Linked DNA regions of Macaca mulatta. The protein of the gene in region 1 binds, or shares a complex with, the protein of each later gene. Links are inferred from orthologs where the notes say so. Each region holds a gene or a part of one and is shown on either strand. Other genes may lie near its edges. The genes, in order: POLR1B, POLR1F, POLR1E, POLR2H, POLR1C, TAF1A and POLR1H.

Region 1 (3,500 bases):
GATTATAGATGTGAGCCACCACACCTAGCTCACATACTATTTTATATTAATTTTTTGTTTTTCTTATTTCAGGAAAAACTGGAAGGTTGGTTAGTGTCTATTAAAATAGCTTTTGATAAGAAGGCTCAGAAGACCAATGTTTCCATGAACACTGACAATTTGATGAGGATTTTTACTATGGGAATAGACCTTACAAAACCATTTGAATACCTTTTTGCTACTGGGAATCTGCGTTCTAAAACAGGTAAAATTAAATAGAGCATTTTAGTTACGTTTTTCAAACTATTTGCTTAATGTAGATTTGCCTGTCCTTGACAGGTTCTTTTTAAAAGCAACCCCCCCCAAAAAAGTAAATTTCTCGTAACTATGACTTTGATGACTATTGGTCTGAAGGACTTTAGACAAGGTGTCTGTATAGCTAAAATTTAATTCAAATAACCAAATACATTTTCTCTGCCTCCTTCTAGAAAATGAAAAGACCACTTAGACCTCTGAGGAAGGCTTACCTAATAGGAATTCTGCATGGGTTGCTGTACATGCCCATCTCTAAACCAGTTGCCTTGCCTCAGAGTGACCTGAGAGGCCAGGTGTGGTGGCTCATGCCTGTAATCCCAGCACTTTGGGAGGCCAAGGTAGGAGGGTGGCTTGACTAGGAGGTCAAGGCTGCAGTGAGCTGTGATTGCACCACTGCACTCCAGCCTGGTGACAGAGTGAGACCCTGTCTCAGCAAAAAAGAGAATGACCCTGGAAACTTAAAAAGTGGTAATTGGGAACCCAGAAATTTTTTTTTTTTTTTTTTTTTTTTTTTGTGAGTCAGGGCCTCACTGTGTCACCCAGTCTAGAGTGCAGTGGCAGAATCATGGCTCACTGCAGCCTTGACCTCCCGGGCTCAGGTGATCCTCCCACCTCAGCCCCACGAGTAGCTGTGACTACAGGCACAAGCCACTACACCTGGCTAATTTTTGTGTTTTTTGTAGAGATGGGGTTTTGCTATGCTGCTAAGGCTGGTCTGGAACTCTTAAGCTCTGGCGAACTACCCACCTCGCCCTCCTGAAGTGCTGGGATTATAGCATTAGCCACTGTGCCCAGCCTTTTTTTTTTTTTTTTTTTAAACCCCTGTTACTGATGCCGATTCTTTCATTAGCCTTCTTACTTGCTTGTCTATTATCTGACCCTCTCAGATGAATTTAACTACTTGCTATTTTATTAACTCATTTAATGTTCTCCTACAAAGGAGGTCATAGAGGAGATAGGGAACTAGTTGGGGCTCATACAGTTTGTGAAATCTGGGGATTATTTTACATATTTTTTTGCGAACTCTTTCCACTCATCAGAGCTAGGAGAATAAATGTTGTAATAATTCATTCTGTAATCTGTAGAGTGCTCTGAGGTTTTGTCGTCACAAAGCCTCAGAAATTTCCGTTTTTTAAAAGATTGGCCCATTTTTGAGTGACTTTTGTTTTATTAAGGTCTTGGCCTCCTACAAAATTCTGGACTTTGTGTTGTGGCTGACAAGCTGAACTTCATACGCTACCTCTCCCATTTCCGCTGCGTGCACAGAGGGGCTGATTTTGCCAAGATGAGGACCACCACAGTACGCCGGCTGCTGCCAGAGTCCTGGGGCTTCCTTTGTCCAGTGCATACCCCAGACGGGGAGCCCTGTGGCCTGATGAACCACCTAACTGCCGTATGTGAGGTTGTCACACAGTTTGTCTATACAGCATCTATTCCGGCTTTACTCTGCAACTTGGGTATGTAGTGTATAGTGATAAACATCTTGCTTGATTTTTTTTTTTGTTTTTTGTGTTTTTTTTGAGATGGAGTCTCGCTCTGTTGCCCATGCTGGAGTGTAGTGGCACGATCTCTGCTCACTGCAAGCTCCGCCTCCCGGGTTCACGCCATTCTCCTGCCTCAGCCTCCCAAGTAGCTGGGACTACAGGCACCCGCCACCACGCCCAGCTAATTTTTTTGTATTTGTAGTAGAGACGGGGTTTCACCATGTTAGCCACGATGGTCTCGATCTCCTGACCTCGTGATGTGCCTGCCTCGGCCTCCCAAAGTGCTGGGATTACAGTTGTGAGCTACCGCGCCCGGCCAAGATTACGTGGTTTTTAACCTGTTAAGTTGTGCTGCTTTTGGAGATTCAGCAGAGACTTTCTGTAAGAATTCGTTTTTACCCTTCTGTGCAGGAGTTGCGCTGCTTTCTTGGCTCCTCTATAGAAGGCTGAACGCATTCTTTGAAAGTGAAAACAGGAGAAACTGTTATAGGTGTTTTGTTTTCTTTCAAAAAAAAAAAAAAAAAAAGAAGATAATGGAAGTGAGGATCGCTTGAGCCCAGGGATTTGAGGCTGCAGTGAGCTGTGATTGTGCCACTGCTGCACTTTAGACTTGGCGAGAAAGTGAGATCCTGTCTCCAAAATAAAAAATAAATCAATGAATAAGAAGGATGCCAAAGCATCTGAAATAGACTAGTCATTAATATTGGAAGCATAGAAGCTATTGAGTAGTTTTTTGGGTCACTTCTCCTTGCATCTCTTGGTGGATCTTTGCATTTCTAAGTAGAAAACAGTGTTGGTTTGCAGGAGGACAGTTTAAAAGATTTTCCAGTCTACCCTAATGTCATCAGATGATAACCATTTTTCCTGATAACCTTACAGCTGCTGTCTCTGCCTCTGCTTTGGCTAGAAAGCTGTCTAATTCTTGGCTTGATACTTGATTTGAATTTATCTTCATACCTAAAGACGTCAGCTTTCTCTGCAGTTTTCTAGTCCCAGGGTTCTCCAATTATGATTTGGAGACTAGAAATGTTCTGTCTTTGGTGGTCTGTGGACAGGTTCACCAGTGGGATTAATATTCATACAGTAAAACTTCCAGTTCATGGGGATCAGACGATAGGTATTCTCAAGCAACTAGAAGGGCATTGACTCAAAGTTCTGCTCAAAAGTACTTCTCCCAATTAGAGTGGCCTGGCCAGGCGTGGTGGCTCATGCCTGTAATCCCAGCACTTTGGGAAGCCGAGGTGTGCAGATCACTTGAGGTCAGGAGTTTAAGACCAGCCTGGCCAACATGGCAAAACCCCATCTCTACTAAAAATACAAAAAAAAAAAAAAAAATTAGCTGGGTGTGGTGGCATGTGCATGTGGTCCCAGCTACTCAGGAAGCTGAGGCAGTAGAATCGCTTGAATCCAGGAGGTGGAGGTTGCAGTGAGCCAAGATTGCACCACTGCACTCCAGCCTGGGTGACAGAGTGAGACTCCATCTTAAAAAAAAAAAAGAGAGAGAGAGAGAGAGAGCGTGGCCTGTAGGAAGAGGGCCCCACAGAAAGTAATCAAGAAATACTCAAGATTCAGACGATGTAATCAGTGTAATTTGAAGGTTTATCCTCTACGAGGAAAATAATTTTGTTACTGGTGATTCGAAATGTCAAAGTCCAGGAGAGGGTAGAAAGGAGAAAAGAATAAAGTGGAGAGGTAGAAAATAGATCCAACTGCAGAAAAAGA
Region 2 (3,500 bases), on another chromosome or scaffold:
TGAGATCAAGATACCCTAACAGGCTAAGGTTTTCTAAATAATGACAGCAGTACAAGACACATAACCATGGCATAAATTCCAAATATTCTATCCCATTATCCCTCAATCCACTAAAATATGCATGGGCTGCTGAATGTTAAATTGAAAAATGTTAAATTTAATATTAAATGTTAAATTCCTTCTTTATGAAGAACTTCTCCCAGACTGTTTCCACACATAAAAATGACATAAGAATCTTGTCAAAACATGTCTTCCAAGTTTTGGGTTGTTTCAGAAAAATTTGGTCACTGAACATTAAACACCACAATACCTAGGCTTATTAACCAAACCACTGACATCTAATAGAAAATACGATCTGGTATGTATCAAAGTAATGGAGTTTCCAGTCTACTGTTTTAATCCTGTTTCAAATAATAGTCCATTGTTCTACTTAGCTGATACTAAGACAGTGTTACTTTAACATTGTGAATTATTTTATACCACTAAAATAAAACATGGATCAATGAAGTAGCTCTGTCTCCAGAACTTCAGTTTTACTCAGTAGCACTAGGCACATGTACCTAATCAATACCAACAACATAACTAGAAATTCAGTTCCTCAGTCAGACTTAGTCCCATTTCAATGCTCAATAGTGAGGCTGCTGTATTATGTATATAAACTATATTTCTGTCATCACAGAAACTGAACAACTGTTCCAGACTTCAACCCATACTCTTGTAACTTTAAGGCAAAATATAGAAAAAATTATTAGCAATAGCAGCATTCTAAGAGTTGTCTCTCTCCTCCTTCCTTTAAACTTGGCTCCCATGGAATCAAGCTCAAGATCAGAGTAATTCTTACAATAATTTCAATACAGACTAATACAGAAATTAAAATATCTGGCACAGATGACAATGATCAACACAATTTTTTGTGTGTAAAAACAAAGCAGGCCAATAGGAAGGTAATTGTGCTTTCAGTAGTTTCAAGTTTAGAGGTCAATTTAAAAAAAAAAGTTAACAACAAAATAGAAAATACTCAGCAAAATTGAGCTACTGGATATTAAAATACAGATCAATTAGCTAGTCAGTGTTTTAGAATATTTGATGCACCGTTACAGATTACTTAAGACTATTGTTGCCGGGCGCGGTGGCTCACGCCTGTAATCCCAGCACTTTGGGAGGCCGAGGCGGGTGGATCACAAGGTCAGGAGATCGAGACCACAGTGAAACCCCATCTCTACTAAAAATACAAAAAATTAGCCGGGCGCGGTGGCGGGCGCCTGTAGTCCCAGCTACTCAGGAGGCTGAGGCGGGAGAATGGTGTGATCCCGGGAGGCGGAGCTTGCAGTGAGCCGAGATCGCGCCACTGCACGCCAGCCAGGGGGACAGAGCAAGACTCCGTCTCAAAAAAAAAAAAAAAAAAAAAAAAAAGAGTATTGTTTATATTGACTTTATGGTTTGAAAGCATGAATATTCCTATAAACAGATATTTTTAAAGAGAGGCTTATGTTCTCTAAATTCAGAATTAAATAGAAATTAAGTACCTAATGATAATTATGTAATGATAAACTAACCTTGTGATATTTAGTTTTCCCCGAATGCAGAATACTCCAGCAGCATCTGAGTCTAAACGAAATACTTCAAATTCTAGTTCATCACCCATGTTTATCTCCATGGTTAGCCACTGCTCAGCTGACAACTGCTCAGGTTTAGGAATGGAGGCATTGAAACACCCGTGTACTAAACAGCCAATGTGGCTAGAAGACACTTTATTAACTATACCCTGGGAAGAAGAAGGAAGAGCATAACATAAAGAACAGATCCACAAAGTTAAAAGGTGAACCAAACTTTACAAGCTTCAAATAATCTTCAAAGAGCAAACATCAAGTTAATGGTCTAATTTAATATGGAAAAAGTTTACCTCAATTAAAACTTACCCCATGTCATGCCAAAACATCACTTTAGAATACCTTTGGGTTTTGAGAAAGCTCAAACTTTATTATATAAGTAATTGCACATTAACTGTCTAACTGGATAAACTAACCTGCCCCCGCCACCCTGTCCAAGAAAAAAACCACCTAAACCCCCCACTGCAGGATTCCTTGGGGAGGAGATTATTACTCTTTAGCTACATTGAAACCATGCAGAAAATACTCCCATATAACCTATAAAAAGACCTCATATGTGTTTTATAACTGGGATCTATGTTATGTTTCTGTAAATAGACCAAATTTCAAAGCTTAAAAATGCATTCTTTATTTAATTTAGCATGATGCAAGCATTCCATTAGAAGACAGCTTACCCTTTATATGTAAATATTGACCATGACTATTTTTGGCTAAATCACAAAAGTATTATTAGAAGCTTTAAAACTAAAACAAAAATATGTGCTATATGATTTTAAGATGAGACTCTTACATAAAACTTATTTTTCTTCTCAGGGTCAATATATACAAAGCATATGAATGAGACCCAGAAATATTAAAAATTCACATTTTCTGAATTACAAAACTGCAAATAATACTGACATCTATATAATGCTGTTTAACATCAGCAACCCTTTACACATGTGACATAATAAAACTTCCCTATCTGGTATGGTCAGAAGTCTAGTGTTCCCACTGGTAGTTTCCAGATGGTCTAGATAAACAAACTGGTACATCCATAAAATAAAAGATTATTCAGTAACAAAGATAAATAAGTTCTCACCATAAAAAGACATAGCGAAACCTTAAATGCATATTGCTAAGTGAAAGAAGTCAATTTGAAAAGGATACATACTCTATTCTTCTTTAAAAAGGCAAAACTATGGAAACAGTAAAAAGATCAGTGGTTGCCATGGATTAGAGGGAACAGAGGGAAGAAGGAAGGCATGAATAGATGGACCACAGGAGTTTTTAGGAGAGGAAAACTATTCTGTATCATACTATAATGGAAGATAAGTTGTTGGGATTCACTCATGAAAGTGGCAGAAATATTAAAGGGAAATATTAGGGAAAGTTATAGGGAATAGTCACAAACCTTTTTGGAAGGCCAAAAGGTTATATAGCTTGTAATAATTGAACAGGCTGAAGACAGCCGGTTCTTACCTTAAAGCATTAAGTTATAGGGTAAATACTAGGGACAATAGAGGCTTCCCCAGTTAAGTCTGTTTACCCTACCTCCATTAACTAACCTTTAAGTCAGATGGCCCTCTGGGGGTGGGGCGGGGGGAGGTCGCCCAGAGATATTGCCCCCTAATGACATTTACTTTAAACCTCAGTACCTGAGCTTTAATTATTTGTAGAACTACTCTCTTGACCATGTTAATTATCCACAACTGTGTGGACTCAGAACTTATATTGTTAACTGTATACTAAATAAATGCCTGGAGTGTGAACTGCTCAGGGCCAGTGGCAGGGACAAACCTCTCTCGGTGTGTAGGCGGTCGGACACTCAGCAGTACTGGCAAAACAGAATATCTGTGTGTCAGTGAAGGTTTTATTCATCCGTCTTTTAGGTCAGGGTCTGCGGGCAGA
Region 3 (3,926 bases), on another chromosome or scaffold:
GATTCTGGTAGTTGATCACATTTGGGCTCGCTGCTGTACTGTAATGGAAAACTCTTTTGGGGTGTAGGAATCTAGAATTACACTAGAATTTATGGCACAACAGTTTTATGGAGGCAAAATCAAGTAAACGGGAAGGAGACCAGTTGGAACTAGGGCATCGTTGAGAGGGGAGAGTGCAGGGTTAGTAGTTCTCAGCACCTATACAGCAATCTGACCTCTATTGGAGTATGGTCCAGTAAGGCTCAGAAAGGGCCTGGTTTGTAGTTCATTGTTGGGTACCATCACAGGGCCCTGTCTGCATCATGCCAGCCCCCGAGAGTGATATAGTTGAGGTTGGACAATCTTCATTGTACAGACTAGGGGTCAGTGATGGGCAGAGTTACCCAGCCACTCAGTCAAACAGCAGCACAGAGGGATGGGAATCCCAGGCTTCTCTTTCCCAGCCCAGAGCCTTCAACACTACCAAGTTCTTTACCTGTCGTTAGTTCCCAGGTAAACTTCACACAAGCTTTGACCTACTAGTCACACATTCCAAATTAATGGAGAGAGCTGCCTTTTGGAATAAGACAGCTATAAACAAACAAGGTTACAAATGAGGTTTTTAGGAAATTCAAGTTATCTTTCCTTTCCAGCAATGTCTACAGGTGAGGGGAAGGGCTCTATGTCTAATAGGAACACAGGAATCACCTAGTAAACCGCTCTAGATGGCTCCTACTGCCCTTAAAACAGACAGGAAACAGCAGTGCCAGTGCTGCCACCACTCCCAACCCCATCACCCTTCCCGCTGTCCCTTCCCCTGCCATTACCTGCACAAAGTGTTGCATTTGAGGGCTCCAGTACCAAAATTGTTTCCCACATAGGAAAGTCTATCTGTTTCAGCTGCCTAAAATGCAGAGAGGAGAAACTCCATTTACAACCAATGTTGAAAGGTATTAAGTATCATCTCTCTTTTCTACATTTGCTGAGGCTTTTGAATCCAGACTCACAATGGATTAGAACTAGTTCATCTCTGGCAGATGATCCAGCTCCACTCTCTCTAAGGGAATATGGGGTGTCCCTGCGGGGGAAGCAAGACAGCTTTTGGAAGAGAAGCCTCAGATGGTGCTAGCTTCTAAATGGTATGAAAAGCTCTTGGGGGAATTCTATCACAAGACTTGAGAGAGAGGCCCTGGGCTTCTAGCACTTATAGGCATGCAACAAAGTGATTCTGTAAGCAATCTCTCTTTGGCCCATCTCTCCCATGACTGTTCTTTGTATACTCTCAGGACCATGGCTGATTGACTCCCCAATCATAAGCAAGCTTTCCTGCTTCTCTGCATTTGTCCTCGCTATCCTTTTCACTTAGAACACCAAACCTTGACTGCCAAACCCTCGTTCCAGCCTTCAAGGCTCAGCTCCAACATGACCTCCCTAAGGAAGGCATTCTGGCAGAGACCTCTCCTCCCACTGAGCTCACTCTGCCCTGTAATCTTCCGCACGTGGCCTCAGAGCTTTGTGTAAAAGTGTCCCTCACAGCCAGTTCTCATCTCTCTAGAGCAGAGGTTCTCAATCCAGGGAAATCCACTCTGGTGCTACTGGCATCCAGTGAGTAGAGACTAGGGATGCTGCCCCCACAGCAAAGAATTATTGGCCCCAAAAGTCAATAGTCCTGAGGTTAAGAAACCCTGTTCTAGAGTATGAACTCCGAGTGGGGCTAGGCCTGATTTGGCTGTTTTCCTAGAAGCTTGCAGCACAGGGATACAGAGGAGGTTCCATAAATGCTTGTTGAAAGAATAAATGAATGAAAGATGGAGCCTGTCCCCACATCCCAAGTTGCTGGGCATCAGAGTTCTTCAAAGGTCCATTTGCTACTACTCTCCTGTTTCTCCCCTCACTCCCTCCCACACCACCCACTCCCAGGCGCCTTCTGAGCCCTGCAGAGTGGAGACAGCTGGCAACTGCTTCACTTACCAGGATCCGTTGATTCCTCTTCCTGGGGTTGGTGGAATCTTTGTTCTCATACAAGGTAAAGCGCATGTTGCCCGGACTCTGTAGCTTCCCGTTGGAGAACTGGACTGTAAGAGTGCAGCCCAAGAATCAGGTGAGAGCAGAAGGCCACACAATGTACGGTGGGACTAGACTGTCACTGGGAGGGAGTGAGTGTCAGAATGGGGATGGCAAGGAAGCTCGGGTCCTGACCCAAAGGGAACTAGAGGAGATCCGGGGCCAGCTGAGAAGAGGGGTTAGGGAGGTGGGAGAACCCTGGGGAGGGGCTGTGACAGGGGGGAATGTCTCGCGGAAGGAGGCTGACAGCAGACGCCTGGTCCACACCTAAAGTGACAGAAGGAACCCCTGCCCAGTGAAGAGAGGGAAACGGGGGAGGTGGGAGACCTGGTGGGTGAGGGGACAGCAGGGTCCTGGACACAGCCCTGGGGAGCGGGTGAGTGGGATGTCCCAATCCGGCTGGGCGGTAGTGACAGAAAGACGGACAGGGCAGCCCCGACCGAGCCCAGGAGAGTGGTGGAGACTACAGGCGTCCTGGCCCCGCTGGGGAGAAGCCTAACGGAGTGCGAGGGGACAGCTGAGATACCGAGACGGAAGGGGGGAGGGTTAGAGGAGCACTGCTCCAGCTCTGCAGTCTTTACCCAGTACAGCTCTCTGGCTCCCGTCGGGCGCCCCACAATACTGCCACCTCGCACTCGGCAACACCTCCGCCGCCATCTCGCCTGTCTGTCCGCCAAGTACAGCAGTTAAGACAGCAGTAGCCACAAACCCTCTTTTAAACACGCGGGAGCCTAGGCCGCGCGGCAGGCCGGAAAAGGCGTGGCCCCAGCCGGGCACCGCCCACAGTGCGCGAGCCGCGTGTCCCCGCCCCCCGCGCGGAGAGGCGCGGTCTCCGCCCACAAGGTGCCACATATTCGCGCGACTGGCCGAGGCGCAGCACGTGATTAGCTCAGCGCTCGCTTGCACTCTGGGTGTTGTAGGTCCAGAGCTTGAGGCGTCCTACGGCTTCAGCCTAAGCTTGCTGTGAGCCTTCTTCCGGCTCAGCACAGTCTAGAGAGAGTGTCGTCTCTCTCCTACCGTGACAAACACGTCTTCCCAAGACCTGAAAGACCAAGTTCAAATTTAGAATTCTCTAACAGGAACTCCTTGAGCCCCAACTAAATGTGGCCGCTGGCAAAAAGCCGCCCCTCTCTAGGACCTCCCACCCACCCACGTGGACATCCAGTTCTAGGTACAAGCTTTGTCCACAGTCCGACAAACAGCGCCCCGCAATGCGCTGTGGCGTGCACACATGTGGCCCGATCAACCCTGAGGTGATGGAACAGAAGCCCAACCAACCCCAGAGCCTTTGGGCAGGAGATTCTGGACTGAAATAGAAGAGGGAGTCCGAGCTGATAGACATGTCCCTTTTTCACTGCGGATTCAACCATTCTTCTGCACGGGGAGTTTTCAGAGCAGAAAAAAGACAAAAGCAGGACCTTTAAGCATGGACCCTGGCCGAGGCCCCCTTTGCCCAAAGATGCGTGCTATTGAAGGGCAAGAACTCAGGCTGACTCCCCTCTGTCTTCCAAATCACCTTCTTTCAGAACTCTTTTCCTTCCACACATCCTCACACCCACCTCCAACACCCAGAATCCTAGGAATAATCTTAAAGCCTGCAACTTGTCACTCTTTTCTAATTACCCAGTCTCAAACTTAAAGAAACACTGCAAGAACTTTTTTTGCCCTGAACCATTTAGAGTAAGCTGTCAACCTGATACCCTTTCACCCCTGAAGACTATAGTATTTCCTACAGACAAGGACGTTCCCTAAATAACAACACAGCCATCAGCAAATTGCCAGGCGCAGAGGCAGAGGCAGTTCTATCCCTTGATTCTAGGAATTTGAGACCAGGCTGGGCAACATAACAAGACCCTGTCTCTACAAAAAAATAATCATTAGTC
Region 4 (3,950 bases), on another chromosome or scaffold:
CCGGAAGGGGTAGGCCGGAGGGAAGGGAGCTCCAGGTGCCGGGAAGTCCACTTCTGGGACGCGGGCGTGGGTCGCTTCTCCCTGGTTGGGCCCAAGGAGGAACCAGAGTCGCTGCTTCCATCTCTCCGCTTTGGGGGAACCGCCTGCTGGTGCTCTGGGTTCTCTATCAGGGGCTGGTGAAGGATAGAACAGATGGCAGAGCGCGCGCAGGGTGGATGGGCAGCATAGAGATAGTGTGAGAGGAGCGAGGGCAGCGCCCAGGAAACGCACAAGTGTGCGGGACAGCCAGCACCAGGAGGAAGGGGCATTTGGGAGGCAGAGGAGGGCCTCAGGGGGCGGGGGCAGTGCCCGGGAAGGGGGAGCCTTGTGATAGAAGCCAGTACCCAGGAGGAAGGGCCAGTGTGAGGGAAGAGCTGGTGTCCAAGGGACAGGGCAGTGCCAGGCTGAAGGGGCACGGAGGGGATCCGTGTCCAGGAGAAGGCAGTGGAGGACTAAGTTGGAGGGGTAATGCCCGGGGGAGGCGGGTGGCGGGAGCCAGGCTGAGGGGGCGGTGACGGGGAAGACAGCAGGGCCTGGGGGAAGCGGGCAGTGGTGGGAGGGTGCAGTACGAGGGGAGGGGACAATACAGGCTTTCCTCTTCTCCATAGCGACATCATGGCAAATTCCCAAACTGGACGGATCCGGCTCGGGTTACATCCAGCAGGGCCGAGCCGGCCCGGGCAGGCCCCGGGGTCCGCGGTGCCGGCTGGAGGGGCTGGGCACCTCTGGGGCGGGGTTCTGCTCCACCTGCCCTCGGCGCGGACTGTGCCCTAGGCGGGCACGCAGACCGGCGGGGTAGGGCTAGGGCCCGGCTTCTCTGGGCCAAGGATCAAGGTCCCTGCCTGGGTTAGGCCCCCACGACTTCCAATCTTCGGGACCCGGCCTCTGAAGAGGGCGCAGCAGAGCCCCAGCTGAGCGCTAGAACCCGCTCTACAGCCGCGGGAGGTTGGACCTATTGTTTCCCCGCCCTGGGCGGGGCCACCTGGACGTGAGACCCGCCCTCAACGCCGAAGCCTCTCGGGAGCAATCTTTTGGGGCGGAAGTTAAGTAGCCCCGAGCGGGAGTCTGTGGCGGAAGTGGGCGCGTTACCACTTGTTTGTGCGCATGCGCCACTCTTGTCTGGCTGCCGCGCATGTAAAAGCTGGTTTTGCTCTTCTCCCCTCTTCTGCACCAGAGCGGGTGCGCGTACTCCCAGCTGTGGTCGCCCGCTCACCCCTTCTGCTGCTCTCGTGGCCCCCTCGCGATGGCGGGCATCCTCTTTGAAGATATTTTCGATGTGAAGGATATTGACCCGGAGGGCAAGAAGTTTGACCGAGGTAAGTAAAGTAGGTAGGGGCGATTTGGAGGAAGAGGCTAACCTCGCGGACATGCCCCTGGACCCCGTGTCCACCCAGCTCTTGTGGCCTGCCCCTACCAGCAGGTCCTGATGTAGGGACCTCCCTCAGGAAACAATTTATGGATGAGAAAAGGGAGACTCCCGAGCTTTCTCTGGCTTCACGCATGCCGTGCCCGGTGCCTAGGTGGCCTTTTGTCATGGTGCTGGCAAACTCCTGGGCATCTTTATAATCGCTACCTGCTCTGTGCTAGACACTGTCTTGTGAGACCAGCCTGGCCAACATGGTGAAACCCCGTCTCTACCAAAAATACAAAAATTACAGGCGGGCGCCTGTAATCCCAGCTACTTGGGAGGCTGAGGCAGGAGAATTGCCTGACCCTGGGAGGCGGAGGTTGCAGTGAGCCAAGATTGCGCCGCTGCACTCCAGCCTGGCAACAGAGCGAGACTCCTCAAGAAAATGAGAGTCCTCATGAGGTGGGTGGTGCCTTCCCCATTTTTTTCTGAGAGAGTAATCCACCCAAGGCTTCACAGCGAGTAATCTGACTTCAGAGCCTATATTCTTGTATTGCCCTCATAATCCTTAGCGCTTTAAGTCTTCTCTGAGTTAGAGTTAGCTGCTTGGTATATCCTTTTTTTTTTTTTTTTTGAGACAGAGCCTCGAGCCCAGGCTGGAGTGTAGTGGCACGATCTTGGCTCACCACAACCTCCGTCTCCCGGGTTCAAGCGATTCTCTGCCTCAGCCTCCCAAGTAGCTGGGATTACAGACATGCTCCACCACGCCTGGCTAATTTTGTATTTTTAGTAGAGACGGGGTTTCACCACTTTGGCCAGGCTGGTCTCGAACTCCTGACCTCAAGTGATCCACCTGCCTCAGCCTCCCAAAATGTTGGGATTACAGGCGTGAGCCACTCCACTGGCCTACACCTCTTAATTTTGTCATCTATCAATAATTTTCTTTTTGATGTCTCATTCTTTGCCTGGAGACTCAGATGTTTTCAAGACGGATACCAGTTCTTATACATCTTGATAACTCCCCTCAGCACAGTGCCTGTCATAGAAAGAGGAAACCTTTGGATGATTGAATAACTTGCCCAGAGTCAGGTTCTCAGTCATCCAGGCAGGCCTAGAACCGGGTATTATTTGCTGCTGAAGTATCTTTGGTTGTTTTCTGGGGATTACGTTCACTTGCCACAGTTTTTCTCCCCTTTTCCTTCTTGCATGTCTGGTTCTGATGGAGCCTGCATTTCTATGAGAGCAGATGAGAGACCAGTGGTTGTAGACTGGGTTAGATTGAGTATTCTGTTGCATACAATCCCACACTGTAGGATCTGCCTTGGGCCTGGCAATACCTCTGTCACTCTTTTCCTGCTTCTCCCCAGTGTCTCGACTGCATTGTGAGAGTGAATCTTTCAAGATGGATCTAATCTTAGATGTAAACATTCAAATTTACCCTGTAGACTTGGGTAAGTATTGAACACAGACAATAATAAGAGGCATTTTGCCGCTTCCGCTATTCTTCACTCTCTGATATTGCTGTTATTTTCAGGTGACAAGTTCCGGTTGGTCATAGCTAGTACCTTGTATGAAGATGGTACCCTGGATGATGGTGAATACAACCCCACTGATGATAGGCCTTCCAGGTGAGGTAGTGGAGAAGGTAATACTTGGAATATGCCTTGAGAACTAAGTAGATAAGTGATATAGAAAGACTCTTCTTTAATTCCTGGAATAAATGATGATCAGCAGAATCTGAGTAACCTTAAGGAAATTTCTGCACTTAAGAATTCAAACAGGCCAGACACCGTGGCTCACACCTGTAATCTAAGCACTTTGGGAGGCCGAGCAGGAGGATTGCTTGGGTACAGGAGTTCAAAACCAGCCTGAGCAACATAGCGAAACCTCACTGCTACAAAAATAAGAAAAAAAGAAAAAAAAAAAAAAAAGGCTGCACATGTTGTCATATGCCTGTAGTTCCAGCTACCTGGGAGGCTGAGGTGGGAGGATTGCCTGAGCCCAGGAGGTTGAGGCTGCAGTGAGCCATGATTGTACCACTGCAATCCAGCCTGGGTGACAGAGTAAGACCCTGTCTCAAAAAAAAAAGAAAAAAATTCCAACAACCAGGTATTTATCTATAACAGTGATTACATGCTTGTGAGTTGTAGCCTTTTGAAGGCTGAGGAGGTGACTGCTGAGTGCCCTAGGCTATGTGGGTCTTGTGTCTTGGGAGGGAGCTTGGTGTGATGGAAAGACTTTGGCACCCCACTTGAGTTCATTTCTCAGCTCTATCACTTATTTGTTGAGTAACCTTAATCTCCTTCAGCCTGTTTCCCCATCAGTAGAATAGAGATGATCATGATCATGCCTAGCTCACGGGGTTGCTGCGAGGACTAAATGACATCATGTTTGTTTGTAATGTGCCTTTTTTTTTTTTTTTTTTTTTTTTAGACGGAGTCTTGTTATGTCGCCCAGACTGGAGTGCAGTGGCTCAATCTCGGCTCACTACAAGCTCCGCTTCCTGGGTTCACGCCAGTCCCGAGTAGCTGGGACTACAGGCGCCCGCCACCACGCCCGGCTA
Region 5 (3,500 bases), on another chromosome or scaffold:
GCACAGTGTCAAGTATAGTACCTCCAAGGACCAGGGCTGGGCAGTCTTTAGTGCTAACATCCCCTTTAGAGCTCACACATCTTGCCCTTCCATGAATGACCCCTCAGTTTGGCTTCCCCAGCCTCAAGGTCCACTCAGGCACAAGAGCCACAGTACCCTAGAGAGTGTCACATGACACCATTGTCATCCAAGGATAAAACAGACCAACTAGGCTATATCTGTGATAAGCAGCTAGCAAAGCCACTGGTCTTCTAGGACTAAGACCAGGTGCCTTCCGCAATCTCATGGTCTTTCAGGTCCCTGGTTACTTTTCTCAAAGACCATCTCCAAAAGAAAAGAATACATGCCTTCGCATCACAACCTGTACTGTGAGTCCATTCTAGAGGTCACTGAAAGGCCCTATAAACAGGACTCGGATATGGGACCTGGCCCTGACATTATTACTGGCCATAAAGGCAGACTTAATCCATACAGAAACCAGTGTGTCCATGTGCTCTGCACAAAAACAGACCTGTTGTCCACCAATCCACTGACAAGAGGGTTTCCATGAGAGCCGAAGTGGACTGAAGCTATAGTTTTTAGCTGGTGTGGGCCAGAGGCAGGGTCAGATTGGGAAGAGGCAAAGCTGAGGAAGCAGAAGTTGGAGTCTCATGTTGCTCCCTCTTCCCGTGTGGTGCTCTGGGTTCCTGTGGATTGTGAAGGCGATCTCAAGAGTGTTTCCCTCCAAACCTGATAGCTGCCTATTCCTGTCTGGTTGGGGCTGTGGAGGGTGTAGTTGTATTTATTGTGTTGTAATATTTTTAACATCCTGTGACTTCATGCTAGAAGTTTTCTATTGTTTATAGAAACTTTTTGTAGAAACATTAACTCCAAAGCACATCTGCATGTCAGTAAAAGTCTCAGTTTCATACAGAAAGGGACCCATCTGCCTTTTTCAACCTAGTCTTAAAACCAGTGACATACTCCAGAGTTACTCCATGAGCACCCTGCAAAAGGGGACTGAACAGGAAGAAATGTGACTGATGAACCTGGTCTTTCAAGCTTTCTGAAATGGTGTGCCAGTTAGAAAAGGATTTCTATCCTGACACACCCAGACTAGGCAGCCCATACCATTCTCACAGTGTCTTTCATATGTGGCTGCTGGGCCTGGCCCAAAGGAATTGCTACTGTTCTTTGTTGGAGCTGTCAATAGCGGCATGAACTTCCCTGGTAATCCGGGAGACAGGTGAAATGGTGCATTCACTCTAGCTTGAATGTTTTTCTAGGGGTTTGGCTGTACTCCCAGAAACCACCTTAATTTGCCAATTCTCAGGAGGTGTTTTTTGTTGTTTTTGAGACAGGGTCTCACTGTTACCCAGGCTGGAGTGTACATCTGATGTTCTTAATTGCTAAAGGTCAAACCAGTTCTGAAGTGAGGCCCTGTTTTTCGCAGTGGCTCACACCTGTAATCCCAACACTTTGGGAGGCCCCAAGGCAGACAGATCACTTGAGGTCAGGAGTTTGAGACCAGTCTGACCAATATGGTGAAACCCTCTCTCTACTAAAAATACAAAAAATTACACATAGCCAGGCGTGGTGGTACACACCTGTAGTCCCAGCTACTCAGGAGGCTGAGGCAAGAGAATTGCTTGAACCCAGGAGGAGGAGGTTGCAGTGAGCAGAGATTGCACCATTGCACTCCAGCCTGGGCAACAGAGTGAGACTCTGTCTCAAAAAATATAAAAGTTGTCTCAAAAAGTTTTGTTTGGACATGAGTTTATTTACATCTAAGGCCTTACAAAGGCCTAAAAGTCTCATTTTATGGCACATTTAACAAAATGTATTGATTAAAAATAAAGCTGGAATTGTCCCAGAAAACTCAGGATCCCTAGTCACACTGGGCTCTCTGTACAGCAGTCCTGTAGGGTGGGTCAGTCAGAACCCAAAGCTTCAGCTTGCCTCAGGAACATCCAAGCTCAGTCCATCTGAACCGCATCTAGTTCATCCAAGAAGCGCCGGCACTTCCCCATCAGTACTTTGATGGCTTCACTCACCAGCACATCTGGTGGCAACACCCCCGTTGACTCAACAGAGACTGGGGATCAAAGAGACACTTTAGCCTAGGCGGGGCTTGCCTGTAGAAAGCCCCTGTTACTCAAACTTCACATCTAGACTGGAAGGAAGCTGCAGCACCAAAGAGTACTGCCCACTCATCTCACCACTTCATACTCACAGATATAATGATCTCGAACCCGGGCAAGCCTCACAACCTTCTTTAGCTTCTCATGCCGGAAGATTTCTCTGCTGAAGGTATCCAGCCGGGGGTTGGCAACTCTGGCCACCTTTTTACCTAATGAGAACAAACCACGTTTTTTTATTCTTTTTTCTAATTTGCCCCTTGGTAGCAAACCATGTTATACTTTTAGGAACCCAGGGTTTTTATTTCTGTCACCTTCAAAGAAAATATAATTTAGGTCCTAACCTGAACAGCACCCCAAATACCATACCTTGGACTTCCTGCACCTCAATAACACCAGGTGAGAAGCACCTGCTCAACTCCTCAGCTGCCTCCCCTTCCACGGGCTCAAGCAGGGTGATGTCTGGCAGGAGCCTATAACTGGCTGTTGCCACTGGTGAAAACTTGGCATGATCTTTGCCTGGAGAGGAAGAGAGAAAGTGCCTATACGAAACCCTTCTAGGATTAGGAAGAATACTCTTCCTAAGCTGCTAACAGCAAAAGCACGATGCTCTTGGCTTTCTACCTGCTAGGAATATCTCAGCTGAGTTCCCTAGTCAGCTTGCCCCACTGCAACCAAACTACCCCTCTTCCCAGGAAGGAACACAGGGTTCTCACCAATGCCCTTGACACAGTGCATAAGCAGGTCAATTTCTTGGCCAGGCCGCAGCTGAGCAATGAGGATGTCATCGTGCACTGGTCGGATAGTGCCCTCTGGGAAAAGATCAGCCTGATTCCCCAGGGGGATCCATGTCATATGCCTGGTATACACTGGAGGAAAAACATGTCAAAAGATTTCAGTTCCTAAAACTAGCAGCCACCCACAGGTGGGGCCTCTTCCTCACCCTACCACTACTTACCTTTGTGGTTCACATACAGTTCGTTGGGGTCAGAGGAATCTTTAGCAGCATGGGGGTTCCGAGTGCATCTGACTTGGAGACGAAACCGTAGGGTATCTATCTCTGTGCCGTCTTCATCTCCTGCACAAATGGAGGGAGCTCTTAAGAACTAGTAAACATCTGGCCGGGCGCGGTGGCTCAAGCCTGTAATCCCAGCACTTTGGGAGGCCGAGACGGGCGGATCACGAGGTCAGGAGTTCGAGACCATCCTGGCTAACACCGTGAAACCCCGTCTCTACTAAAAAATACAAAAACTAGCCGGGCGAGGTGGCGGGCGCCTGTAGTCCCGGCTACTCGGGAGGCTGAGGCAGGAGAATGGCGTAAAAACCCGGGAGGCAGAGCTTGCAGTGAGCTGAGATCCGGCCACTGCACTCCAGCCTGGGCGA
Region 6 (4,064 bases), on another chromosome or scaffold:
TAACTACTGCATATTGTTTATGAAGACAACATAGAATCAACTATTTGTAGCATTTTAAGGAATCCATGTACATTTTTTTTTTTTTTTTAAAGACAGGGTCTCATTCTGTCGCCCAGGCTGGAGTGCTGTAGTGTGATCACAGTTCACTGCAGCCTCCTCCTCCCCGGGCTCAGGTGATCCTCCCACCTCATCCTCTCGAGTAGCTGGGACTAGAGGCATGCACCACCACCCCAGCTTATTTTTTTAAATTTTTTTTGTAGGGACGGGGTTTCATGATGTTGCCTAGGCTGGTTTCGAACTCCTGAACTCAAACGATCCGCCTGCCTTGCCCTCCCAAAGTGCTGGGATTACAGGCATGAACCACCGTGCCCAGCCTCAAACTCTTACTAGACCCTTTAATTTCCCCTCTGATACTCTGATTCTACCCAAATTGTTCACCTTCACAGAGGAAACTCAGTGATTCGTGGGGGAGCTTATTATTTGTGCATCCTCATTTGTGGACAAAATTCTTTCTTGCTGTGACTTGAAAGCAGCCTCCCTTTAGCTTTCACTTATTAGTCCTAGTTCTGTTCTCTGCTGCTAAGAAAAAAGGTCTGATTCTTCTTTCACGGATCAGCCCTCCAAATGTTGGAGAAGCACACTGCGTTTCCTTAACCGTCTTACTTTTGACCCATATTTCATTTGTTTGTCTCAACGTCCCTCATGCAAGTTGAACCAGACGGGGTCCGCAGAACAATTTTTGCTGAGAAGGCAAAAGAAATTCTCGCCCAAATTGTGGAGAAGGGAGTCGAACCAATTAAACCCAAAGCTAAAACTGTAATAGAAAAGAACTTTCACGCTCGCAATGAACAGGATATGCATGGATTTGTCTCGTCACAGCCACTAGCCACGCCTCCACTCGTGCAGTGCGCCTGCGAGCCGAGCAGAAACCAATGGCCCATCGTAGTGAATTTCTCGTAGTGAAATTCTGCGCTTTAGAATGCTCCCTTCGCCCAGCCGCCGACCCCTCACCCCAATTTCCACTTTAAATGAAAGTCTCCCACTTTCTAGCTGAAATAAAGCTCGGGCAAAACTAATCGGAGAGAGGCAGTTCACTGTCACTTCCTGGGTCACTTCCAGAAGTCACTTCCGGGGTCGAGGCGAGGCCAACAATACGCCTGCTACCGCAGGAGTTACGAGCTGGGCCGCGCGCAGCCTGAATGCCTAAACCAGGTTTTGCGCATGCTCATATAAAGCTCTCCTAACCGTCTTCCGGTGGGAATTTATTCACGTGGTCCGGAGTCGGAGACTGAGTTTAGCTTTACTGAGGAGCTCTAATTTTAAGCGGGTAAGTGCCGCAGATATCGTCCGTGGTTCCTGCGTTTAAATGGGACGGGAAGGGGTGTGTCAGGATTCATCCATGTTCTCCTGATATTTCCTCCTAATACCTGAAACCCTTGGAGTCTGAGAACGAGAGAAGGGGCTAGAGAAGCTTTGGTTGCCGTGGCAACTGCGGGACACCAATTTGGATTTTTGAGGATTTGGAAAGGGAGGATTTGTGTAACTACGCCTCAAAATACATGATGAGTCAGATTCAAATTCATTTGTTACTTATAATTCATACTCGTAGCCACAAAATTTGATTTTAGAAGGTTTTCTCTGGGTGTAATGCAGAGAAGCAAAATCTGAGCCAGGGTAATTATTTAGAAAGCTAATGCAGTAATCTAGGCACTGTTTGAAGGGGTCTTGAACTAGGGTAGTGCTGTAGGATTGCAGAGAAGAGGGGAAATTGGGGAAATTTGGGAGGCAGTATCAGGGGCACTAATACTCGATTTCATATGGGGAATGAGGAAGGGGCCCTGAGCATCTTTAGGAGTAAGTCCAAACTCAGCTTGGCTTATTATTTTTTTAGGTTCGTTTCTCACCTTCCGCACCCCCCTCCACACACACCCCGACTTCTAGTCATGCTAAGTAGTTTAGTGTTCTATTTCCTAGAATAACGTCCTCACCTTTATTGTGATGTTAGGCAGGTTCTATCATTTCACTAAGCCCCTCAGTTTTTTCAATCTTAACATGGAAGAAAGTAATAGTACCCACCTCAGGATTGCTGTGGGGATTAAATTAGATAATTTATACTTCTGGTGCGTAGTAAGGGCCTAATAAATATTAGCTGCTAGTACTATTCTTATTATACTTCTCGTATTGTTTTGTTATTATACGTTTTGCTGTTTCTTCGTCTAGACCTGAGATTTTTTTAAATTAGAGGGGCAGTATCTTACTTATCTTTATATGGACTTGAAACATTAGTAGTTCGGTCTTTTTAATGTCTCATTCATTTTGGCTGTTGCTGACATAGTTAAATTCATTTTTTACTTTAAAAGAGCTGACAGGTATCATGCATTTTGCTGATCAAATTGTATTTATTAGATAAAAAGATAGCTGTTTTTCTGTACAACTCAGAAGACTGTGGATTAAGATGTACAGAAAGTAACTGATATCTCAGTTTGTAATAGGTATGAGTGATTTCAGTGAAGAATTAAAAGGGCCTGTGACAGATGATGAAGTGGAAACATCTGTGCTCACTGGGGCAGGAATGCATTTTCCTTGGCTTCAAACATACGTAGAAACTGTGGGTAAGTAAAACAGTAACATTGAGCCATTTTAACTTAAAATGTAAGGAGATGGTAAGATTCAATATGGATACAAAATCAATAACCAGGCTGGTTTAATTTTCAAGAGGAATATGTGGAGTGTTTTTAGGCTGTAAGCCAAAAAAAAGTGTTTTTTCTTTTAGAACTCTTTGACTTTGGATTAACAGTAGTCTGTATTATGCTAGATACACATTTTTTCCAGTAATACTTACTGAGCACTTTTATTTCTGGCATTGATTAAATATTGGGGAGTCATAGATGAAGAAGATACGGTCTCTGCCATTGAGGAAAACATGCCCAGGAAGTGTTCAAGAAGTTGCTGTTGAATTGCATTGAAATTATTTCAAATAGAATTGATCATGTAATAGATTTTTTTTTTTTTTGGAGACAGAGTCTTGCTCTGTTGCCCACACTGGAGTGCAGTGGCTAGATCTCGGCTCACTGCAACCTCTGCCTCCCGGGTTCAAGTGATTCTACTCAACCTCCCAAGTAGCTGAGATTACAGGTACCCGCCACCACGCCTGGCTAGTTTTTGTATTTTTAGTAGAGACAGGATTTCACCATGTTGGCCAGGCTGGTCTTGAACTCTTGACCTCAAGTGACCTGCCCTCCTCAGCCTCCCAAAGTGGTGGGATTACAGGTGTGAGTCACTGCACCCGGCCTAGATAAAAGAGCATTTTCCCTCATTTTTATCTAATGTAAATGCAAGCATGTTTTTCTATGGGATAAAATTTCCCCCATTTTTATCTAATATAAATGCAAGTATGTTTTTTTATGGGATAAATTCCCTATAATAATTTATTTAATATAAGTATAAATAAAAGAAGCTATTATTTGTATGCTGGCGTATTGAGTGGTTTACATTTGGGATTACATTTGAACCAGCATTTTACTTACTGCCCTTAAATATGTATTTTTTTGCCCAGACTTTTCTCCCCTTGACAGAGATTCCTTGGCTCCTAAAATTTCGCTTCCATTTTTTCTTTCGATCTAAGTATCATCTCATTTAATGATCTCAGTAAATTCTCAATAAATTTTTGTGCTAGGCAGTTTAGGTAGGAGGAAACTGAACCTCAAAGACATTAAATTCGTAAGTGGTGGTATCAGAAGGCAAATCCAGGTTTGTCTGATCTCAAAGCCTACACTTTTAACCACTGAGATATATTTTTTAAAATGAGACAATATATGTAAAGTACCTAGCATAGTATCTCATGCATAGTGAGTGTTGAAAAATAATAGTGCCTTTCCTCTCCTCATTTTAGTTTTGCTAGATTAATGCACGTGGCTTAAGGCAGATTTGAATGAATGATACTTCAGAGATAGTGCTACTTCATCCCTGGTAGGGAACTAATAATTTAAATTTCCTATAGTTATATCATACTTGGGTATATTTCTGTTACCAGTGTTCTATAGAAAGTCTGAGTCAGTCTGCAA
Region 7 (4,251 bases), on another chromosome or scaffold:
CAGTTAAGTGATAGGGCTTGTCACTCTTCAGCAGTTTGCTGAGTTTTAACCCTTTAACTATGGTGTTCTCTCCATTATCACAGAGAAAGGCAGGTGGGAGCCTCTCCCAGCGAAAAGACTACAGCTTGTGTCCTTCACAGGACAAAATAGTGATGGCTCCAGAACTTTCATATGAAGGAACTTAGCACAGCTATCAGAGTAGGTGGTGGTGGGAGGACTAGCAGGAAACTAGTAAACAACGACAAGCTGCCCCTTCAGGGAAAGTTTCTACTTCGAATATAAGTTACAGAGTAACGAAAATAGCAAGATTTCCGAAAGAAACTTATTCCCATGTTTTATAAAAGATCAGGGAAATGTCAGCTGTCCACTTAATGGATGACGAATAATGAATTAAGAGTTCGATAAGCGGCAGGCACAACTAAAAGCCAAACTCGACCTAAGTCTTATGAAATCCTACTTAATGAGCTTCTTGACTACTGCTAGCCTCACTTATCTGGCAGGAGTCGAAGGAGGGGAAGCCCCAAGCTCTTCTGTTCTACCACCTCCAAAGTCCTGAGCCCCTTCTCAAGTGTCCCACTTCATCCCTGCTTCCTTTCGTCCCGTGGGACTAAGGATTCCTCTGGCCTTCACCCTCACCACTTGCTGTCCCTCAAGAAGCCGACTCACCCCTTTCCAAGCGCGGTGAACCGTCCGCAAAGCACACAGGCCGGCTGCGCTCTGCAGAAAGCCCACGCTCGCCAGCGGGACCCAAGGAACGCTAGAACTATACATGCCAGAACACTTAGCTTTGTTTTTAACTACTGTGCAGCCGCAAAAGGGAAATACCAGCTCAGGACCCAGGGGAGTTGTAGTTCTCTAATCCAAAGAAGTCATTATTCAGCAAAGTACGGTTTTCAGGAGGATATTCCCCCGCGATTGGGTTCCCGTAGGATGTGAAACAGAGAATAAATATCCCAGGATTCGGTGCTGGTGGGAAAATTTGCTGGAAGCGCAGCATTGGTTACCAATTTTGTGCTCAACGTCTCAGTACCAGCCTGAAAGTTGAGCCCCAACCTCCCTTAGAAGTGGTGACTCTCCATCTCTAAGGCTTCCGAGACACGGTACGCAATTAATTATGACGTCACAGCCAATCGTCAGCGTGAAAGCGTGACGCTCTAGCCGGCTCTAGCTCGCTGCCCCGCCGCGGGCGCAGAGCTGGCGCTCTAGCCCACGGAGTTGGCCAGCTCCTCTCGCCGGCCCCAGGAAAGGGTTCCAAGTCCTTTTAGTACCCGACGCTGTCTGGGAGTTCCGGGCGTTTCGGCTCCTTGGTCGCAGAGGCAGGAGGCGTGCGTGGGAGGAGGACTCGGGTTATATACTCCTACGTCCTGGGACGGAATAGTTACCACCTCTGGGGCAGGAACTCTTCTCTCTTTTGTTAATAAACTTCTAACTCCCTCCTCAGACCCGACTGCATGTCTGTCATGGACCTCGCCGGTACTTGCTCCAGCTTTCAGTCGGACTTGGATTTCTGTTCAGATTGCGGCTCGGTCCTGCCTCTGCCCGGGGCTCAGGATACGGTCACCTGTACTCGCTGTGGCTTCAACATCAACGTTCGGGGTGAGAGGCTTGTACACAGGGGTCCTGGCGGAGGGCCCAGGATCGGAAGCTTGGGGAACTCAAGATCGGTTGGGTTGAGAAGGGGATCCTAGAGCAGGACATCAGGCAGTTGTACATTTGGTTCAGCGATGAAAACTGAGGGAAAGGATATAGGGCCTCCTGGCCTAACCAGCCAGGGGAGAGGGGAAGTTTCCGGTGTCAGCTCCCTCAGGTTGTCTCCATAACCCGTCTTACTTGCCTGTGCAGACTTTGAGGGGAAGGTTGTGAAGACTTCAGTTGTGTTCCACCAACTGGGGACAGCCATGCCTATGTCGGTGGAGGAAGGGCCTGAGTGCCAGGGACCTGTGGTAAGTTAATGAGATCAAGAACTGGCTCCATAAGGTGGGTAGGAAAGAAATGGAGGAGTGATTGCAGAGATCTGGAGAGTTTTGTGCCCAATTCCAAGTGGGAAAAGATGTAAAGCATCGATGTTTGAGAGGCGTGATCGCCTGATTCCTGTGGGAAGTAAGGGTATGATATGACCTGGCCTCCATAACCCACCAGTTTCTTCCCAGGTTGACAGGCGCTGCCCTCGATGTGGTCATGAAGGAATGGCATACCACACCAGACAGATGCGTTCAGCCGATGAAGGGCAAACTGTCTTCTACACCTGTACCAACTGCAAGTGGGTATCCTTTCCCCTCCCTTTGCTCAGTCTGTTTGCTAACTAATAAACAAATCCAGTGATTTATTTTTTTGTACTAAACGGCTGTGTCCTTTCGTCCCATCCCTTATTTCTGTGCAGTTCTGGTAAGAGGGAGATTTGTAGTTTTTATTTTTTTAAATTACACTTTTTTAACCCTTTTTGTAACCAGTGAAATAAACCTTTTAGGTTTTTTTTTTTTTTTACGGACAGGGTGTTGCTCTGTCACCTAGCCTGGAGTGCAGTGAGGCAATCTTGGCTCACTGCAACCTCCGCCTCCTGGGCTCAGGTAATCCTCCCACCTCAGCCTCCAAAATAGCTTTGGGACCACAGGCACGTGCCACCACACCTGGCTTTTTGTTTTGTTTTGTTTTTTGTATTTTTAGTAGAGATAGGGTTTCTCTCTGTTTCCCAGGCTGGTCTTGAACTCCTGAGCTCAATCAACCCACCTCAGCATCCCAAAGTGCTGGGGATTACAGGCATGAGCCACCCTGCCTGACCTTCTTTTAGGATATTTAAAAGGAAATGAATAAAAAAAACCAGAAGAAGCAAGTATTGTTTAGTGGTCAGCGTCTTATACTGCAGTCTTCAACCGCAGTCAAGGTAGCTTTACTTTGGAGAGAATTAGTCACACATGATTTAGAGAACATGGGCTTTCTGAATGCTTTTAAGACCTCATCTTTGTCTTTGGTGTTCTGCAGTCACTATAGTATATCAAAATGTGATTTTCTTTTATTCTGTTTGGGATTTGTTGGACTTTCTGAAACTGAGAGTGCATTGTTGTTTTTTGTTTTTTTTTTTGAAACGGAGTCTCGCTCTGTCTCCCAGGCTGGAGTGCAGTGGTGTGTTCTCCGCTCACTGCAAGCTCCGCCTCCCGGGTTCATGCCATTCTCCTGCCTCAGCCTCCTGAATAGCTGGGACTACAGGTGCCCGCCACCACGCCCGGCTAATTTTTTGTGTTTTTTAGTAGAGACAAGATTTCACTGTGTTAGCCAGGATGATCTCGATCTCCTGACCTTGTGATCCACCCGCCTCGGCCTCCCCAAGTGCTGGGATTACAGGTGTGAGCCACTGCGCCTGGCCTAGAGTGGATTTTTTTTTTCATCAACCTTGGAAAATTATCAGCCATCATCTCTTTTAATATTCTCTTTCCCCCATGTTCTCAGTCCTCACATTCTGGACCTCTAATTAGTTACTAGAATGAGATTTCTCTCTTCTGTCCTCCATTTCTCTCGCCTTCTTTTCATATTTTCAATCGCTTTTCTCTTTATGCCACCTTCTGAGTAATTTCTTCAGGTTCCTCTTCCATGTCACTAATTCTGTCTTCAGTTTATTTCAAGTATTATTATTTTTTACTATTGTTATTATTTTGAGTTCTATTTAATTACTTTTCAAATCTCAATTTTTAAATAATTCTCAGTTCCTTAATAATATTTTAAATTGTTCCTTTTACTAGTCTTTATATATTTAAAATATTAAATGTGGTTATTATATTCTATGTCTCATAATTCTGATATCCGTGGATTTTGTGTGTCTGATGCTGCTGTCTGTTTCTGCTGTCTCTCTCATAGTGCTTTTTTCTTTGTTTTGTAATTTTTGACAATAAATTTGAGTTTTTTAGAACTTGAACTGTAGGAATTCTCTGAGGCCTTGGGTAAGTGTTGTATTCTCAGCATTTGTGTTTCTTTTCTAGGTGCCTTGAAGCACTATCAAGCTGGAATTACTTTAAATAAATTCTTGGCTTCATGTTTTTTGGAGCAGACAGATAGTATGAATTTGAGCTGCAAATCCATGTAAGGGCTAGCTTATGGCTAGAAATTCTCAGGAAAGAGTTTTCTCTCTTTCTACCTACTGAGACAGTCAAATTCCCCTTCTATAGAGTTGAATTTCTTTCTTTTCTTGTTCACTTTTACAAAAAAGGGCAGGCTTTTGCAGTTCCCAAATTTATGCACAGGATCTCCTATCAACCTTGC

What was found.
Region 2: POLR1B (region 1) and POLR1F share a complex: the UniProt entries of both Homo sapiens proteins name them as parts of the RNA polymerase I (Pol I) complex. The link is inferred for Macaca mulatta from reciprocal best matches to the Homo sapiens genes POLR1B and POLR1F.
Region 3: the proteins of POLR1B (region 1) and POLR1E are in contact, whole or in part, in a cryo-EM structure (PDB 8A43), measured with the Homo sapiens proteins. The link is inferred for Macaca mulatta from reciprocal best matches to the Homo sapiens genes POLR1B and POLR1E. Residues at the interface, in NP_061887.2 of Homo sapiens: Lys254, Ser258, Phe259, Ser260, Tyr262, Gln263, Gln266, Ser295, Thr296, Gln297, Ser338, Thr340, Glu341, Ala532, Cys535, Pro541, Ile542, Asp543, Gly544; in NP_071935.1 of Homo sapiens: Gln27, Ser29, Asn30, Gly31, Tyr69, Thr76, Leu79, Lys80, Cys81, Leu84, Cys85, Met109, Gln110, Pro111, Leu112, Phe113.
Region 4: POLR1B (region 1) and POLR2H share a complex: the UniProt entries of both Homo sapiens proteins name them as parts of the pol I pre-initiation complex. The link is inferred for Macaca mulatta from reciprocal best matches to the Homo sapiens genes POLR1B and POLR2H.
Region 5: the proteins of POLR1B (region 1) and POLR1C are in contact, whole or in part, in a cryo-EM structure (PDB 7OBA), measured with the Homo sapiens proteins. The link is inferred for Macaca mulatta from reciprocal best matches to the Homo sapiens genes POLR1B and POLR1C. Residues at the interface, in NP_061887.2 of Homo sapiens: Arg713, Gln715, Lys761, Ala762, Glu765, Arg766, Gly767, His770, Tyr774, Gly816, Val848, Arg872, Pro874, Glu900, Asp901, Phe904, Glu906, Gly908, Lys967, Gly970, Tyr971, Asn972, Phe973, Tyr974, Arg978, Tyr980, Ser981, Gly982, Ile983, Ser984; in NP_976035.1 of Homo sapiens: Ala70, Asn74, Arg77, Arg78, Leu81, Ala82, Gln102, Asp103, Glu104, Ile105, His108, Leu112, Lys220, Asp221, His222, Ala223, Thr230, Ser232, Tyr233, Arg234, Leu235, Asp281, Thr282, Phe283, Ser284, Glu286, Arg289, Arg301.
Region 6: POLR1B (region 1) and TAF1A share a complex: the UniProt entries of both Homo sapiens proteins name them as parts of the pol I pre-initiation complex. The link is inferred for Macaca mulatta from reciprocal best matches to the Homo sapiens genes POLR1B and TAF1A.
Region 7: POLR1B (region 1) and POLR1H share a complex: the UniProt entries of both Homo sapiens proteins name them as parts of the pol I pre-initiation complex. The link is inferred for Macaca mulatta from reciprocal best matches to the Homo sapiens genes POLR1B and POLR1H.

Annotation. Positions count from the first base shown.
Region 1 is NC_133418.1:22,638,852-22,642,351, forward strand, and holds part of POLR1B (DNA-directed RNA polymerase I subunit RPA2), read left to right. Parts: intron 1-72; coding exon 73-244; intron 245-1,469; coding exon 1,470-1,751; intron 1,752-3,500. UniProt on the Homo sapiens protein: Catalytic core component of RNA polymerase I (Pol I), a DNA-dependent RNA polymerase which synthesizes ribosomal RNA precursors using the four ribonucleoside triphosphates as substrates.
Region 2 is NC_133408.1:108,575,004-108,578,503, reverse strand, and holds part of POLR1F (DNA-directed RNA polymerase I subunit RPA43), read right to left. Parts: intron 1,766-3,500; coding exon 1,557-1,765; intron 1-1,556. UniProt on the Homo sapiens protein: Component of RNA polymerase I (Pol I), a DNA-dependent RNA polymerase which synthesizes ribosomal RNA precursors using the four ribonucleoside triphosphates as substrates.
Region 3 is NC_133420.1:62,122,870-62,126,795, forward strand, and holds the start of POLR1E (DNA-directed RNA polymerase I subunit RPA49), read right to left. Parts: upstream 2,801-3,926; 5' UTR 2,701-2,800; coding exon 2,625-2,700; intron 2,055-2,624; coding exon 1,951-2,054; intron 884-1,950; coding exon 807-883; intron 1-806. UniProt on the Homo sapiens protein: Component of RNA polymerase I (Pol I), a DNA-dependent RNA polymerase which synthesizes ribosomal RNA precursors using the four ribonucleoside triphosphates as substrates.
Region 4 is NC_133407.1:96,503,350-96,507,299, forward strand, and holds the start of POLR2H (DNA-directed RNA polymerases I, II, and III subunit RPABC3), read left to right. Parts: upstream 1-1,150; 5' UTR 1,151-1,282; coding exon 1,283-1,355; exon of another isoform or gene 1,356-1,363; coding exon of another isoform or gene 1,364-1,364; intron 1,365-2,754; coding exon 2,755-2,838; intron 2,839-2,921; coding exon 2,922-3,015; intron 3,016-3,950. UniProt on the Homo sapiens protein: DNA-dependent RNA polymerase catalyzes the transcription of DNA into RNA using the four ribonucleoside triphosphates as substrates.
Region 5 is NC_133409.1:138,597,048-138,600,547, forward strand, and holds part of POLR1C (DNA-directed RNA polymerases I and III subunit RPAC1), read right to left. Parts: intron 3,196-3,500; coding exon 3,076-3,195; intron 2,987-3,075; coding exon 2,834-2,986; intron 2,637-2,833; coding exon 2,487-2,636; intron 2,330-2,486; coding exon 2,213-2,329; intron 2,075-2,212; coding exon of another isoform or gene 1,956-2,074; exon of another isoform or gene 1,739-1,955; intron 917-1,738; exon of another isoform or gene 1-916. UniProt on the Homo sapiens protein: DNA-dependent RNA polymerase catalyzes the transcription of DNA into RNA using the four ribonucleoside triphosphates as substrates.
Region 6 is NC_133406.1:80,432,301-80,436,364, reverse strand, and holds the start of TAF1A (TATA box-binding protein-associated factor RNA polymerase I subunit A), read left to right. Parts: upstream 1-1,264; 5' UTR 1,265-1,327; intron 1,328-2,482; 5' UTR 2,483-2,494; coding exon 2,495-2,612; intron 2,613-4,064. UniProt on the Homo sapiens protein: Component of the transcription factor SL1/TIF-IB complex, which is involved in the assembly of the PIC (pre-initiation complex) during RNA polymerase I-dependent transcription.
Region 7 is NC_133409.1:152,983,541-152,987,791, reverse strand, and holds the start of POLR1H (DNA-directed RNA polymerase I subunit RPA12), read left to right. Parts: upstream 1-1,451; coding exon 1,452-1,596; intron 1,597-1,842; coding exon 1,843-1,943; intron 1,944-2,150; coding exon 2,151-2,260; intron 2,261-4,251. UniProt on the Homo sapiens protein: Core component of RNA polymerase I (Pol I), a DNA-dependent RNA polymerase which synthesizes ribosomal RNA precursors using the four ribonucleoside triphosphates as substrates. Can mediate Pol I proofreading of the nascent RNA transcript.